Linked DNA regions of Sus scrofa. The protein of the gene in region 1 interacts with the protein of each later gene in a pairwise test. Links are inferred from orthologs where the notes say so. Each region holds a gene or a part of one and is shown in the gene's direction. Other genes may lie near its edges. The genes, in order: MYCBPAP and MYCBP.

What was found.
Region 2: the proteins of MYCBPAP (region 1) and MYCBP interact in binary tests that used the Homo sapiens proteins (3 or more experiments, as listed by UniProt). The link is inferred for Sus scrofa from reciprocal best matches to the Homo sapiens genes MYCBPAP and MYCBP.

The regions. Positions count from the first base shown.
Region 1 is NC_010454.4:26,790,525-26,794,444, forward strand, and holds the start of MYCBPAP (MYCBP-associated protein), read left to right. Parts: upstream 1-1,185; 5' UTR 1,186-1,263; coding exon 1,264-1,306; intron 1,307-3,920. UniProt on the Homo sapiens protein: May play a role in spermatogenesis. May be involved in synaptic processes.
Region 2 is NC_010448.4:94,808,469-94,811,376, reverse strand, and holds part of MYCBP (C-Myc-binding protein), read left to right. Parts: intron 1-1,541; coding exon 1,542-1,590; intron 1,591-1,826; coding exon 1,827-1,956; intron 1,957-2,908. UniProt on the Homo sapiens protein: May control the transcriptional activity of MYC. Stimulates the activation of E box-dependent transcription by MYC.

The DNA.
Region 1 (3,920 bases):
CTTGGGAGAACCACCTTCAAACTTTGCTTCTAGCTAGTGACCTTATTTTTATTTTATTTTATTTTTTCTTTTTTGGCAGCACCTACAGCATATGGAAGTTCCCAGGCCAGGGATCGAGTCTGAGCTGAAGCTGCAAACTACACCATGGCTGCAGCAACATCAGATCTTTAACCCACAGTGCCACATCGGGAACTCCCTGACAGGTGACTTTTCCTTGGTGGAGCTCAGTTTTTCCATCTGTCAAATGGGCACAGAGTGGAGCTCCTCAACCCCAGCATGATTTTGAGAATTGACTGAGATGTCACTACAGTTTATGGAGGGTACTGTGTTGAGTAGTTTAAATGTATACTCAGTTAATCCTTACATAGGCCCTTTCTCTCAGTCTGTACAGTGGCCATCGTGCATACTCTCAATTAATCTGTACAGTGACCATTGCATCCTCCATTTTATAAGTGGGAAAACTGTGGCTCAGAGAGGTTAAGGGACTAGCCCAAGAACACACAGCTAGGAAACAGGAAGGGCTGAGATTGGAACCCAGTTCTGTCCTGCTCTATAGCCCCTTCATTATTCCACACAGTTTCTGAGCCACTACGTGTTACACTTTGAGTTGAGGTGTGGACAAAGGACAAGCCAGCCTTTCTCTCATGAATTTTATATTCTTACAGAGAGCTTTACAGCAGCCAACCAGTTAAACAAACAGTAATTGTTGAATGCATTAAGACTCCGGAAAAAAATATAAGGGGGCACATACCAAGTTGAGCTACTTGGTATATACAGAGAGCTACTTTAAATTGCGGGGCGGGGAGCTCAAGGACTGCAACCGACAGTGTGAGGTGGCCCCAAGTTCCCCAAGCTTGGCTGGTCTGGGAAGTGATGCAAGCCCAAAGTGGCTGCAGCGAGCCGGGAAGGACACCCAGCGCTTGCAGGGGACAGGCAGGGACCACGGGGCAACTGAAATCAGCGAGAAGGCATCAGGGGTTTTCTGCACGGTGTGAAATGATGGATGCCGCGGTGGCTGTGCAGACGGGACGAAGGGATAGCGGGCAGAAGGAGCAGCAGGAAAGGGCCCTCCTCCTCCGCTTTCCTTCCCGGTCTCGCCTCCCGACCCCGCCTCCCCTCCCTCGCCTCCCCTCCCCCCCGCCCCGACCACCGGGCTAGTGACGTCACGGCGCTCGCCGGCGCCGCCTGTGACGTCACGGTCCGGATTGGGGGCATTGTTAGGGTCGAAGAAGTGGCCCGTGGCGGGCGCGTGGTTGCGGCCTGATGAAAAAGGTGGTTCCCAAGCAGTCTCCGCCCAAGTTGTTCGGTGGGTGCGCTCCCCCGCGCGCGGCGCTGGTTGCTATGGACGCTCGGGCGGCCGCTGGCGGGCGGGTGCGCTCGCGCAGGGTCGCGGGGGCTGCGGCGCCGCCTCCTTTTTCCGGGTCCTGGGTCCGGGTCCACAGGGCCACGCTCGCCGCCCGGGCCGCACCATGAAATCTCTAAAGAAGGAATCCCGCCACAGAATACCTACAAACAGATTCGTGGAGTCTTCAGGTAGCTTGAAAGGTTGGCCCTGGCTGCCTTGGGAGCTCAGGAAAGCCCGACAGGGGCAGGGGTTCTGGGGCGTCACAACACAGGGCCCGGAGGATGGGGGTGATAGCAGCCTGGAGGTAAAGATCACACGGGAATGGGGTACAGGACAAGGCGAACCCCATGCCTTAGACAAGGCGGTGACCCCTGGTGGGGCACAGTACACTGGGCCTTGGGGATGATGTACAAGGAGGGGACTCGCAGGGCAGGCTGGGGCCGCAGGGCACTGGGGCCTTGAGAGTGGGGACATAGAAAGGAGGGGACTCAGGGATCAGCTTTTGGGGAGATGACCTTGGAAAGGCAGGCCTATGAGACCTTGAACAATATCTTAGGGTGGGATACAGAAGGCAGAATCCTTCACCTGAGTGAAAGAGCCAAGAAAGGAGTTCCACCTGTGGCACAGTGGGATTGCTGTGTCTCTGCAGCACCAGGATGCAGGTTGGATCCCTGGCCTGGCACAGTGGGTTAGAGGATCTGACATTGCCGCAGCTGTGGCATAGGTCACAATTAGAGCTGAGATCTGATCCCTGGCCTGGGAACTCCATATGCCAGTAGGGCGGCCAAAAAAGAAAACAAAAGAAAAGAAAGGAAAGATCCAGAAAAGAGTTTAAGACTAGAAAGGCCAGGCCATGGGGTCTTGGGAAAAGAAATTCAGAAAAGATGCAGGAAACATGTTGAGGTGGTGAAACCAACGACCTTAGTGGGATTCTTTGCTGAGTGCCACCTTAGAGTCCTACTGGAAAAACCGGGAGAAATGCCTGACTTGGCCAGTTTTCTGATTACCTCTTCCCACCCTGTGCCCTTTCCGGCCAGATTGCGTAACCCCTGTCCTGCTTGTTTAACCTGGAGACAATCAATGGACATGATCCCTGCTTCCTGTCCTCTGCAATTACCCTCTGGTTGTGACAGGGAGAACCCCAGGGTGCCTGGTCAGCAGGCTGACCCCATGAACTTGTGCCCATGTGCAATCCACTTCCTCTTCAGTCTTCTTTTGTTTGCATTTATTGAGGGCCTGCTGTGTGCGGGCACTGTGCTGGGCAACAAGGCCATGGGTGGTAACTGTGGGACCCCAGAACTCAGGAAATGGAGTTTTGTGAACTCCTGTAGGAGAAACCAGTCAAAAGATGGTGATACAGACACCTGTCGGTATCAAGGGGGCTCAGAGCACCTGACTTAGGCTTTGAATGGTAGATTAGGGGGAACATTTTTCTGAAGAAGATGACATCTAGGTCTAATCAAAAAACAAAAAACAAAAGAAAAGCGATATGCTTCTCTAGGTCTAGGAAGAAGCTAGGGAGTGGAACTTTGACATTAATGGCCAAGGCAGAGGTGGTGAGTGTGGAAAAGGGGGGAAGGAAGCCAGAGAGGACTGCACAGGTAGGGACCAGACCACAGAAGTGCTTTACATGCCAGGTCAGAAAGTCGGTGTGTCATTGCAGCCCCTGGGGAGACCCAGCCTCAGATGATGGTGTGAGCTGAGTGTGAGGAAGGGGCAGGCCTGGAGTTAGTAGGGTTCCCTGGGAGGCCTGGAAGGGCTTTCTTTAATGCTGCTTCACAGCATGAAGGTCCAATGTAGACTACAACAAGATGCTCCTTTTTTTTTTTTTTTTTTTGTCTTTTTGCTATTTCTTGGGCCGCTCCCGCAGCATATGGAGGTTCCCAGGCTAGGGGTCCAATCAGAGCTGTAGCCGCCAGCCTACGCCAGAGCCACAGCAACGCAGGATCCGAGCCACATCTGCAACCTACACCACAGCTCACGGCAACGCTGAATTGTTAACCCACTGAGCAAGGTCAGGGATAGAACCCGCAACCTCATGATTCCTGGTTGGATTTGTTAACCACTGAGCCACGACGGGAACTCCTCATGATATACTTTTAACAGTTAGGAGAGAAAGAGGGAAAAATAGCTGGTCTGCTTTCCCAAGGGCAGTCAAGGGCTTTCCTAGCTACTGCCTGCTGTTTACCTAGTTTCCGAGGATCTTATCAGATTTGAACTTTCTGCTGTAAACAAATCAAGGAAAGATCCTTTCACTGCATATTTATTTTTAATAAGAGGAAATTTGACTTGTTAAATAGCCCCTGAGTTAAGAATATGCATTAAGGTGAGGAAGGAAAAAAACCTTGCAAAATGCCTTTTTCCTCCTAAATTTCTCAGGGGAAGTCTCTGATGTAGCCCGGCTATACTTCCCGACACAGATCAGACCCGAGCCATAGCAGTGACAATGCCAGATCCTTAATCTGCTGAGCTTCCAGAGAACTCCTAAAGTTATGTTTAGAATGATTCTGCTTGTTTGTTTGTTTTGCCATTAACTATATAGGCATTTTCTTTAAAATAGTTTGTTTTTGGTAAC
Region 2 (2,908 bases), on another chromosome or scaffold:
CTTAATTTGGTGTCTAGATATGCATATTTTTTTGTGTGTAGTTTTTGTCTTTTTCGGGTTTTTCAAAGAGGTCCATGCACAAAAAAATGAGCAATGGTTTAGAGAGATTTTTATCTAAATAGTGCATCTAAATAGTGTAATAGGAATTTGTTTAAGATGAAAAAGGTAGTGCTGACGTGAACTACTGGATATGAAACCACTAAAGTATTTAATATTGATTTGAGCACACTGATTACTGGTAAAGTTTTTGGTTGGTGGTTATTTAGCATGTTATGTGTGAAACTTCATTATTGAAGAACATTTTTGAAGTCAAAGCTTCCTCCTTCCAGTAATTAACCATAGCCTTCCAGAATTTTTCTCTACTGTACCTACCTTGTTTTCATCCCTCTATCACTTTAGTGCAGATCACTAACTTTTAATTAAAAAAAAAAATTTTTTTTTTGCTTTTTTTTTTAGGGCTGCACCTGCAGCATATGGAGGTTCCCAGGCTAGGGGTCTAATTAGAGCTACAGCTGCCAGCCTACGCCACAGCCACGCCAGATCCAAGCCCTGTCTTTGACCTCCATCACAGCTCATCGCAACACCAGATCCTTAACCCACTGAGCAAGGCCACGGGTCGAACCTGCAACCTCATGGTTCCTAGTCGGATTTGTTTCCACTGTGCCACAATGGGAACTCCAATTGCGTTCCTGCTTTCATTTATTTATTTTTTGTTTCTGTTTTTGCTTTTTAGGGCCAAACCTGGGGCATAAGGAAGTTCCCAGCTAGGGGTGGAATCAGATCCAAGGCTGCCAGCCTGCACTACAGCTCACAGCAATGCTGGGTCCTTAACCCACTGAGCGAGGCCACAGATTGAACCTGAATCCTCAGGGATATCATATCAGTTGGGTTCGTAACCTGATGAGCCACAACAGGAACTCTGCTTTCCTGCCTTTAGATCCTTGTCCCACCTGTCAGTCTTCCACACAGGAGTCAAGAGTGATCCTGTCATTCCGCTGCTTAAAACTGTTAATTACCTGCCATTTTGTCCTTAGGTTCAAGGGCTGACTGAACTTGCAGGATCCTGTAGTCTCCCCCACACCTCAGTTTTCCAGCTTCCTTTCCTGCTCCGCCCCCTGTTCACAACACCATCTAGCCATACTTGAATTTTCAGTTCCTTAATATGTTGTGCTTTTGCCCCTGGCCTTCCCTTTTTATCTGAAACCTTCATTGCCTAGGTTTCAGGTCTTATTTCCCTTCCTTGGGGAAGGCTTCCCTGCTGCCTTAGGCCGAGGTAGGCATTCTTCCAATGTGCTCCCATAACCCATTATCCTATATTGCTGCTTGATAACTTTTTTTTGGTCTAGTTCCTTGCTTATCTCTTGCACAAGACTTTAAATTCACTGAGAGCAAGGACCTTGTCTGTCTTGTTCACCATGGTATGGACAGTCCTGGCAGTGTGCATGGTGTATAATAGGCACTTCATATTTACTGGGTTATGGAATATAATTTCAAACATTTAAAGACTTTAATTGTTGTTTTTTCTGCTTTTTGATTTGCAGTATTGGTAGCCTTATATGAAGAACCTGAGAAACCTAATAGTGCTTTGGAGTATCCTTTTCACCTTCCAAGTCAGAAAAAGGCCTTCATTTTTTTTGAACTCTGATTTTTAAACATAGATAATAACTTTTAAAATACTTTCAATTTTTGAAAAAATTTGAGTATTTGGATTTTGATCTCTGGGTAAATATTGGTGGCAGGGTGGGGTGACTCTCATCAGAGAGTTATTTCAGAGGGCTATTTCACTAGTTTCATTCAGCTCAAGTAAATTCTTAACTTGATATTAGTTTTTTAAAGCATCACTTAGGAGCTGCTACCCCAGAAAACCCAGAAATAGAGCTGCTTCGCCTAGAATTGGCAGAAATGAAAGAGAAATATGAAGCTATTGTAGAAGAAAATAAAAAACTGAAAACAAAGGTAACATTTTTGAAAGAATTCATGTTAAAAATAAGTTCACCTTTAGTGATCATATGATCGCAACCTCACTAAAATGGACAGTAGGGGAGGGAGGAGGGTGAATATCAATCTCAGTTAGTTGCAAGGCCAAGTTGACGCCCTGTCGAGAAAACCACAGGCAAAGTGTAAATAGGATGAGCAAAGTGTGGTCAAGAAAAGGTTCTTGGGAACCTTCAACCAAAAGATGAGAATATTGGTTTATAGGTAAACAGAGATTTCTCAGAGTCTTAGGCAGCTGGTTTGAGTAGGACAGTACAAGGCCCCTGCTTTGTGAATGTCACCTTAGACTGGGCAGTGCATGTAGTGCACAGTCATATGTGGTGGCCCTGTAATGGTAACTCTGTAAACTTGTCTGCCCTTAAGTCTCTGTAAACTGGTTTGCACTCTTTGCCTAGTGCTGAAGTTTTTTCTTTGTTTAAACTCCTGTGAGAATTTTCATAAACTTCAAATGAGTCAACTTAAAGTCTTTGAGGTTTTACTGCATTCTGAATCACATAATGCATTTCACCTGACTCCAGGCATTTCTCATAATGTGTCTGATCTTCTCAACAAGTTTGTGAGATAAGTGAAACAGGCACACAGACTGTTTTATAGGTGAGGAAACTAAAGCGCAGTGAAGTCTAACTTCTCGAATCCCACAGCTAATTGGAATAACTCAAATCTTAGTTTTTGCAGGGAACCACAACTCAGCAAAGATTATGCATGCATTACTTTAAATTGTCCACAACGTGTAAATGCCAGATAACTTTTTCACATCCTTTAAGTCAAAGATGTTAGCTGCTCTTCATTGACTGGCTAGATTTTTTTTTTTTTTCCTGTTTTTTTTTTAGGGCCATATCCATGGCATATGGAGGTTCCCAGACTAGGGGTCAAATTGGCGCTGTAGCCACTGGCCTACACCACAGCCATAGCA